3 linked regions of the Cricetulus griseus genome follow. The protein of the gene in region 2 purifies or fractionates together with the protein of the main gene of each other region. This does not show direct contact. Links are inferred from orthologs where the notes say so. Each region holds a gene or a part of one and is shown on either strand. Other genes may lie near its edges.

Region 1 (3,522 bases), about 120 Mb from region 2:
CGGACAGGCTGCTTCTGCCTGCCCTTGGGGCTGTTTCTTCCTATTTTAACGCCGCTGAATGATATTATTTTCAACTTGATTTCCATGACCAGTCTCTGAGAGAGAGGTTCGGGGCACGAGGGACATGCTGGCCTGAGATTGCCATATATCTAGTTTCTCACCATGGTTATAACTTTGCAAATCTGCATTCCTTTCTGCAGTGCCCCTCATCCGCCTCTGAGACACCATGTTCAACTCAATGACTCCACCACAAGCCAATAGCTATGGTGAGCCGTGCTGCCTCCGACCCCTCCCCAGCCAAGGGGTCCCCAGCCTGGGGACAGAAGGTGAGTGTGTTTACCAGTCCCTGGGCCTTGAGGGCTTGGCGGATCTCTCACCTAGGATCCCTCTCAGCCTCATTCCTCCCCCACAATAGTTTCCTATCTACAGGAGGATTTGAGACCCCATGCCATGCATGCTTGGAGCTGGGGGTCATATCTCACGTGGGGTCTCAAGGTAAGCCCTGTGTGTCCCCATCCAAATGCCCCATTCCAGCTGTCTCTCTTTTCTAGGATTTTCTGGTTTGCCCTTTTGCCACCAAGCCAACTTTATATCAGGGTCCCAGGGTTATGGGTCTGCCAGAGAGACCAACGGCTGTTCTGAGGGTGAGGACTCAGGCGATCTCTGTCCCCTCTCTGCCCCTCTGGGACTTGTTCGGAAGGAGGAAGTGGGAAGGCAAGGACGAAGATCAATGGAAGAAGTGTCCAGAGATGACAGGGATCAGAGAGCCATCAAGAAGTCCTAGGTTGAGCAAGGCAAAAAAAATAAATAAATAAAAATTAAAAAATTAATTAATAATAAAATAAATAATTCTTTATTAATAATAAAATAAAAATTAAAAAATTAATTAATAATAAAATAAAAAAATTCTTGGTGGCACACGCCTTTAATCCCAGCACTCGGGAGGCAGAGGCAGGCGGATCTCTGTGAGTTCAAGGCCAGTCAGAGTGCCAGCATAGGCTCCAAAGCTACACAGGGAAACCCTGTCTCGAAAAACCAATAAATAAATAAATAAATAAATAAATAAATTTTTGAGTCAGGCCCCACATACTGAGTGCATGTACCTTTACTGCATCTTTCTTTTCTTTCTGAAAATTTTTAAAATTTATTATGTATATAGTGTTTTGCCTGCGTGTCTGCCTGCACACCAAAAGAGGGCACCAGATCTCATTACAGACAGTTGTGAGCCACCACGTGGTTGCTGGGAATTGAACTCAGGACCTCTGGAAGAGCAGCCAGTGTTCTTAACCTCTGAGCCATCTCTCCAGGCCCCTAAATTTTATTTTTTTAAATAATGTATGTGTTTGTGTCTGTGTGGGTTTGCACATGTGATTGCAAAGGTGCGGGGCATCCTTGGAGCTGGAGTTATAGGTGGTTGTGCTGGTGTGGGTGCTGGGAACCAAACTCAAGTCCTTTGGAAGAGCAGCTAGTGCTCTTAACCACTGAGCTGCCTCTCCAGCCCCCTTTGCTGTTTCTTGACTCCTATCTCCTGCCCTAGGGCCACTCTTTCCTCCTCCCCGGAGTTCAGTCAAATTGACAAAGAAGCGGGCACTGTCCATCTCACCTCTGTCCGATGCCAGCCTGGATCTACAGACTGTCATCCGTACCTCACCCAGCTCTCTTGTGGCTTTCATCAACTCACGCTGCACATCTCCAGGAGGCTCCTATGGCCATCTCTCCATTGGCACCATGAGGTGCTGGCACCTCAAACTAAGAGACCCCTAAAATATGTACTGAAACCCATTAGAAGACTCGGACCCTTCAAACCTCCAGCCCAACTTGAACCCCTAACCCTCCCAAAGGGGAACCCTTTTCAGAATCTCCCTGGGCTTACTCAACCAAGCCTTCCAGAAACCCACAAAATAGAGCAAGGATTCCGATGACTGATAGTCTTAAATAACAGCCTCCTCTTCATCTAGCCCATCTCTAGGATTCCCACCCCAGATGAGTCACCAAAAAGGGACTTCGCCTTCCTATGGAGTCCAGCCCTGTGTTCCACAAGACTCTACTCGGGGTGCAATGATGCTGCATCCTCAGTCCCGGAGACCACGTCAGACCTGCCAGGTGGGACTCTCCACATTGCCATCTTACTTGGCTTCCCCGACTCAGGATAGGTGGGTAGTAGACTTAGCAGCAGCGGGGCAGGTGAAGGAAGCCAGTACACATAAAAGCCTTTGGTACTGGGAAGGTAGAGGTATAGATGGCAGCCCCACCCCTTCCCTCAGCAGGGTTGACTCAGACTTTCTCAGATGAGAGCACACCTGTCCATCCCATTCGCCAGTGCGGGCTGTGGAGGAAGTCCTTCCACACTCACAGGAGTCCTGCTATTGGGTGGGGGCCCATAGGGCAGAAAAACCTGGCACGCTTTCCCTTCTGACTACTCCATCCTCACTACCCTCACCTCTTTCCCTGGAGAAGCTGAAGTCAGAGCTGGACATGCTGGTAGGCAAATGCCCAGAGGAGCCGTTGGAAGGGGACATGTCTAGCCCCAACTCCACAGGCACACAGGTAAGGGAAAGGGCAGGGTGCTCTCTGTGGGACCTGAGCAAAACAAAACTTGCCACCCATGACCCTAAGAGTGTGTCCTTTGCCCTAGGATCCCCTGCTTGGGATGCTTGATGGGCGGGAGGACCTGGAGGAGAAACCTGAGCCTGAATCTGTGTATGAGACTGACTGCCGCTGGGATGGCTGCAGCCAGGAGTTTGACTCCCAGGAGCAGCTGGTGCATGTGAGCCCCAGGGGATGACAGATGGTTGGTGGGAGCCTGTAGGAGACTGAGTGGGTCATTATGGTCTGCTCAAGGGCAGAGCAGGTGGTTCAAGGATCCTGGGGTCAGAGATGGCATGCTCAATCCTGCAACCCAAAGCTTGGAGTAGCTTTTCTATAGAAGGCTAAAAGACCCCAAGTGTGGGATATGCTGCCTTCCTGACCTTTAACTCCCCCAGGAGGCAGTGCTGAGGAGGATGAATGGGGGGCTGAACGAAAGGGATATGTCCCGGGTTTGGGTGGCATCGGGAACCCCAGAAAGCCTCGTCTTCTCCCTCCTCAGCATATCAACAGTGAACATATCCATGGGGAGCGGAAGGAGTTCGTGTGCCATTGGGGGGGCTGCTCCAGGGAGCTGAGACCCTTCAAAGCCCAGTACATGCTGGTGGTGCACATGCGTAGACACACGGGCGAGAAGCCGCACAAGTGCACGGTGAGGCACCCATCCCTCCCCATATTGGTGCCAAATCAAGGTAGGGTCCAAGGTAGACATTTGCCTTCAAAGTCCCTTCCTTCATAAGCAGATGTTTAAACATCTTGCTGAAGACTGTATTGATAGAAAGATGAGCACATTGATATCTATTAAAATGTTTTCAGTTACATTTTATGGGGTGGTGGAGTCTTGCATTCCAGGGTGTCTGTGTGGAGGTCAGAGGGCAATTTGCAGGACTTGGTTCTCTTCTTCCACCATGTGGGTCCTGGGGAATCAAACTCAGG
Region 2 (3,522 bases):
ATTTTTAACTCTTGTGCAGACAGATTCCTGTGTGTCTGCACCGGCCGAATGGTGTCCATGCCATCCTTTCACAGCCTTCCTCCATATCTGCTGCCTCTTATGTTCTTTCTGCCCCTCCCTTCTTCCAGGCTTCTCTGAGCCTTTGGGGAAGGATGAGTTGATAAAAATGTTCCATCTGTGTCTTTCCCCTCACAGCCGTATGCTCAGTGTTCCAAACTAGATTTTTAAAAGAGAGCTGCATCATACCAAAATAAAATTCTTTTCTTGTAGAAACAGACTATGTAAAAGGTGTTCTTAATTGGTCTAGATAATAAAAGGCCAGAGTCAGATATAGAGGGAAATGCTGAGAGATCAGAGAGAAGGAGCAAGCCACAGCACACCTTACCTCCTAAGCGTCTCAGCAGAGAAGAGAGCTATTTCCTGTTTGTCTCCTCTTATATCCTGGTTCTGCCCAGCTACATCATTTCCTGTCTGTCAGTACAGACCTCCAGACCTCTATGGTTAGCTAGTGGCAAGCTCCATTATCTGACCTTCAGACAGGCTTTATTTGTGCAAGAAAGATATTACCACAAGGCTAAGTATCTCTTATCCAAAATGCTCCTGACCCAAGCATTTTCGAATCTATTTCGTTCTTCTCCACTATTTCCATTGACTTATAACAGCATCTTTAATGAGAGAATCCACAATTTGAAATACTCTAAAATGCCAGACTCTACTTGTGGAAAGCTCCTTGAATAATAAAAGCAATGAATGAGCTGTGTGAATTGAGAACTTTTCTAGTCTCTGAATGTGTACTTGATCAAAATCAGCTGAAGGCAGAGAGAAATGCCTACTGCTCCACAGGTGAGCTGGCTTCACTGAATAACTGTATGAATTGGGGTGGCATAACCAAAGGTAAGGTCACTTCCAATATATAAGATGATGGACACAAGAACAGTAAGACCGTGTGTCCTGTGAGGAAGAAGGGCACGACTTGAGCAAGAGAAAGGGTGAGGGAGCTGTAAAGTTGTCTGCGTATGTATGTAGGTTGGTATGGAGGGTGATTTTTCTATTTCAGCTCACATATGAGACTACAAGAGGCTGGACCTGGAGGGCCCCTGCTAGCCTCTTTAGTCAGCCCCTCTCTTTCCTTCTCTTTGATGGTCCTTTACTTAGTGGCAAAGGTTTGTGTGAATGTCACTAGTTGAGTGTGTTATAAAAGAATATTTCTTTTTAAAATATATATTTAAAATTTTTGTATTATTTTATGTATAACACACACACTCCATGACATGTGTTCTGGCCAGATAAGAACTTGCTGGGGTTGACTCTCTCCTTCTACCATGTGGAATGCCAGGGATTGAACTCAGGTCATTAGGCTTGGTGACAGGTGCCTTTACCCACTGAGCCATGTCACAGGTCCTGAAATGCTTCTGCCTCTTACCTGGTAATTTGTCTTCAGCCTTCTCTCCTTTTTTGTCTCAAGAACATGTGTACAGCATCAGGAGCATCATCTCCTTAGTTTTATCTGACTGCCCTGGATTATGGTGTGGGGTGTGTTTGACTGAACACATTTTCCCTCATGCTTTTCAGATCATTAAAAAGCTGATAGAAAGAAAACAAGCCCAGATTCGAAAAGTCTACCCTGGACTATCATGTTTCAAAGATGGAGTTCGGCAGATTCCTATAGAAAGCATTCCTGGAATCAGTATGTATAGACACTTTTAAAAAGCAAACTCTTCTGTAGATCTGTAAGATAAGTTTGAAGTGATTACCAGAGTACAGTCATTTGAAAAGCTTTCACCTGCCCTCTTTCCATGTGTGGTGCTTCTGGTCTTTGAAATAGGCAGCAAACTAGTTGTGGGATGCTTTCCTGTAATCCCAGCATTGAGAGACTAAGGCAGGATGTAGAATTTGAGGTTAGAGGCTAAAGTGAGACACTACATGGGGATGGGTAGGGCAGTAATAAAGACTTTCTAATGTGTTTTCTTCCTAACTAAACCCAGAGTACCTTTAAAAGAGTTATTACTAATATACATAATTAAGGCCTTGTACTTGTACACGATAGTTGGGATAGTTGGCAACAGCAGTATCTATTAAATAGCATGGAAACTTTGGATCTTTGTTTTTACAAATTGAGGAACTCATCTTCAAATGGTTGTATAAGTTAGCATGCAAAAGTTCAGAACAAGAAGCAACCCATTCTGCTCTCCAAATGGCCTGCTGTGGACAACCCGCCTTGATGCCACTGTCACCTGCATGAACCCATTGCCTCTTCTTTTCTCCTCTCCATGCATGATGGAAGTCACATCAGTCGTTTGAAGTTTTTATTTTACAGTACCTTTCTTAGGAATTCTTTTTAACATGCTAAAAATAAACTGTACTGGGTTAAACCATACAAAATAATTGGGGTTTGTAGATTGAAAACTATTAATATCATTTGGTAATCTTATTTGGTTTGAACCTAAGTTCTTATAATTACTACTCACCCCACCCCAGAACCCAATGACAAAACTAAAGTTCTTCAGGAAAGAGACAGGATGCTCTTTCATTGCATCTGCCCTATTCCAGTTCTCTGGATGCTGAACCTGGGTTTCACACTTCCCTGTGTTGTCACTGTTAATAGCAGAGTAGTTGCCCCAATGTTGAATGCCTAATGGTGCCAGGCATTCTTCTGTTTTTATTTGTTCCCAATTCATTACTTTTCCATCTTTTGTCAAATGTTTAGCTATTTGGACTAAAAAAAAAAAAAAAAGAACTCATGTCACAAGGGCCAATACCACCTAGTTTCTGTAGTTTTGTTTTGTAGGTAGGTAAACTGAGATAGAGCCAAAGTAACTTTTTAAAGGAGAACAGAAGAATCAACTCCAGATCCCTCAGACACCAGGTCCCTGTAAACCATCTACATCACAATCAGGGACTTGGCCAAACCACACAGCACAGAGCCCTGCGCTGAGCTAAAATAACAGCAGCACTTTGTTGTGTGCTAATTGAAGATTTCTGACTTGCAGTTTAAACATAGATAGTACTGGTTTCTTCTCCTTTTCTTCTATCTTTTGAAGAGCTGGAATTCCTGCCTTAGCAAACACTAACCAGCTGAGATCATAGCTCAGGGATAGAGCACTTGTCTCAGTAGTGATGTGAGATGTTGGCTTTAATTCCTAGCACTACAAAAGAAATTAATAAATCAATTAAGAGAACAAGATATACTAATATAGCTGCCAGTCTGGGAAAGCATTTTATGTTGTAAGCTGTATGAAAAAGAAAACAAATGCTATTAATTTCAGTGTGTTTCCCCAAATAAGACATTTATTGAGACATGGCTGTCATGTATGGTGCTTTTAATAAGTAGTAAGTATGTTATTCTCTTGACCCAGAGCAGTTCTCATTTAGTGTTTAATTTTGTTGACATATAGGAGAGACAGGCTGGAAACCAAGTGGAAAAGAGAAAAGGTAAGCAAGCCGGGCTAGAGGATGTTAATGGAAGTGATTTTCCCCCTTCCAGCACTTTCTAGGAAAAGGGCCAAGTGATGTAATTGGTAC
Region 3 (2,337 bases), on a different chromosome or scaffold from region 2:
TAGTTATTTAAAATGTAATCCCCGTTTCTTTTTTGTCAGTAACATTTTTCCTAGGAATTTGACAGGTGGTTAGCATTTTCAAAAGTTCATGCTCCGTGGGTGAGTGATCCAAGTCTACCTTACATGTCAAAGACCATCTCAAATATAATAGCTTTGGCAGGGTTTTGTTTAGTCCACCTGATAACTACTCAATTTAAAACTGTACAGTCAAAGCCATGTGTGGTAGTACACTGCCTATAATCCCAGAGTCTGGGCTCCCAGCAAGCTCATTTCAATAAGGTGTCTTGATTGTTTTTGTGCAGCTCCTGTTTCTCTAGTAAGAACAGCACTTTCCCGCCAATTGTGTTCACTAGCAGTCTACAAACAATTTCTGTCATAATGATTTAATTATGTCATATTAGCCCACTGTAAAAGGCTAATATAATTTTTTTTTCGAGACAGGGTTTCTCAGTGTAGCTTTGGAGCCTATCCTGGCACTTGCTTTTTAGACCAGGCTGGCCTCGAACTCATAGAGATCCGCCTGCCTCTGCCTCCCGAGTGCTGGGATTAAAGGCGTGCTCCACCAACGCCCGGCCAGTAATGGATTTTTTTATATTGCCTGTATTTGTATGTCTTTATCCTTCATGCCTACCAAAAGATTGTACATATAGTAGATCCCAGAGAATCGATGGATATCTATCTCAATGAGAGAACTGAGGACTGAGCCCGACAACATTCCAAGTGGGTCTTTTGTGGGAAAGGTTACTCAAGAGGGCATATAGAACGAGGTTGCTTACTGTATTCCTTTTTTCCCTTGTAGGCAGTAGAACGAGTCCTGTACCCACATCTGCCCACATACTGGACAAACCTGCAGGCGGTGCTGGATGACTATTCCGTATCTAATGCCCAAGTCAAAGCAGATGGGCACAAAGTCTATGGAGCGATTCTGGTGAGTAGCGAGGCCCAGCTTCCCTTTCTTACAGTAGCTCAGCAGGTTTACTTTGAGATGCCTGCTGGTCCAGGTTTCTTCTAGCTCTTTGTTTACAGGTGGCCGTAGAGCGACTACTGAAGATGAAAGCCCAGGCAGCAGAGCCCAGCCGCGGTGGCTCTGGCGGGAGACTGTGCCATCGTGCGGAGGACTTGCCTTGGGACAGCCTTCTCCTCCAAGAGTCTCCTCCGGGGGGCGGCGCCGAACCAGGCTTTGGGTCTGGTCTCCCGCTGCCGCCAGGAGGCGCGGGGCCAGAGGACCCTTCTTCCTTGACCCTGGCAGACATCTACCGTGAGTTGTACGCCTTCTTCGGTGACAGCTTGGCCACTCGCTTCGGCACTGGCCAGCCCACGCCCACGGCCCCGCGACCACCCGGAGACAAGAAGGAGCCAGTGGCCGCCCCGGACTCGGTGCGGAAAATGCCGCAGCTGACCGCTAGCGCCGTGGTCAGCCCGCAGGGGGACGAGAGCCCGCTCGGCGGAGGCCCGGCGGCCGCCTCCACCGCTTCGGAGAGCAGGCCGCTGCCGCGCGTGCACCGGGCGCGGGGCGCTCCCCGTCAGCAGGGGCCCGGCGCGGGCACGCGAGACGTCTTCCAGAAGAGCCGCTTTGCGCCCCGCGGCGCCCCGCACTTCCGATTTATCATCGCTGGGCGTCAGGCCGGGCGGCGCTGTCGCGGGCGCCTCTTCCAGACTGCTTTCCCCGCGCCCTACGGGCCCAGCCCGGCCTCCCGCTACGTGCAGAAATTGCCCATGATCGGCCGCACCGGCCGCCCGGCCCGACGCTGGCCGCTCTCGGACTACTCGCTGTACCTGCCGCTGTGAGGCTGCCGCCCCTCCAAGAATAAATCCGCACCAGGAAGTGACGTGTCTGTGCTCGTGGGCGGGGCTTGGGCGGTTGGCTTCCTGGTGTCCTGTGCGCCATGGCGCTCACCTGGTTGCAGCGAGTTGAGCTCGCGCTCTTCGCTGCCGCCTTCCTGTGCGGTGCTGTGGCGGCCGCGGCAGTGACCAGGACCCAGGTGCGGCTGCGGGGCGGGCCAGCCTTGGGGCCGAGCAGGCTGGCTCTGGGGACTGGCCGCGGTAGCTTCACCGAGCTAGGGACTGAGAAGTCCCAAACTTGTTTGCTTGCCAGAGGAGCTGGACACGCAGAGCCTATTCGAGTCCAAGATAAACCGGTTAATAAGTTTACTTGGGTGCTGGGACACACAGGCCCAGTCTTTGCATTCACCCAATGCACAAATAGAAACATTTGTGCAAAAAAAAGTAGTATAGTGGAGTGATCAAGGTACCGCAAGATTGTAGTCCGGTGTGTGAAGTGAGGGAACGTATACACTTAGGTACACCAGGTTTATTATTGTTGGACAGTCTTGGTCA

Evidence for each region. The genes of interacting proteins can lie anywhere in the genome.
Region 1: the proteins of Kat2b (region 2) and Gli1 purify together in Homo sapiens (affinity purification with western blotting; 3 studies listed by BioGRID). This does not show direct contact. The link is inferred for Cricetulus griseus from reciprocal best matches to the Homo sapiens genes KAT2B and GLI1.
Region 3: the proteins of Kat2b (region 2) and Taf6l purify together in Homo sapiens (affinity purification with mass spectrometry; 5 studies listed by BioGRID and IntAct, counting the BioPlex papers as one, with this or other methods). This does not show direct contact. The link is inferred for Cricetulus griseus from reciprocal best matches to the Homo sapiens genes KAT2B and TAF6L.

What each region holds. Positions count from the first base shown.
Region 1 is NW_023276806.1:130,393,505-130,397,026, forward strand, and holds part of Gli1 (zinc finger protein GLI1), read left to right. Parts: exon of another isoform or gene 1-106; intron 107-194; exon of another isoform or gene 195-200; 5' UTR 201-226; coding exon 227-326; intron 327-429; coding exon of another isoform or gene 430-495; intron 496-551; coding exon 552-644; intron 645-1,537; coding exon 1,538-1,733; intron 1,734-1,958; coding exon 1,959-2,103; intron 2,104-2,454; coding exon 2,455-2,547; intron 2,548-2,635; coding exon 2,636-2,767; intron 2,768-3,088; coding exon 3,089-3,238; intron 3,239-3,522. UniProt on the Homo sapiens protein: Acts as a transcriptional activator. Binds to the DNA consensus sequence 5'-GACCACCCA-3'. Regulates the transcription of specific genes during normal development.
Region 2 is NW_023276806.1:249,617,857-249,621,378, reverse strand, and holds part of Kat2b (histone acetyltransferase KAT2B), read left to right. Parts: exon of another isoform or gene 1-216; intron 217-1,572; coding exon 1,573-1,687; intron 1,688-3,395; coding exon 3,396-3,432; intron 3,433-3,522. UniProt on the Homo sapiens protein: Functions as a histone acetyltransferase (HAT) to promote transcriptional activation. Has significant histone acetyltransferase activity with core histones (H3 and H4), and also with nucleosome core particles.
Region 3 is NC_048596.1:51,319,390-51,321,726, forward strand, and holds the end of Taf6l (TAF6-like RNA polymerase II p300/CBP-associated factor-associated factor 65 kDa subunit 6L), read left to right. Parts: intron 1-799; coding exon 800-928; intron 929-1,026; coding exon 1,027-1,788; 3' UTR 1,789-1,829; downstream 1,830-2,337. Other genes in the region: Tmem179b (transmembrane protein 179B), read left to right, coding at 1,887-1,982. UniProt on the Homo sapiens protein: Functions as a component of the PCAF complex. The PCAF complex is capable of efficiently acetylating histones in a nucleosomal context. The PCAF complex could be considered as the human version of the yeast SAGA complex.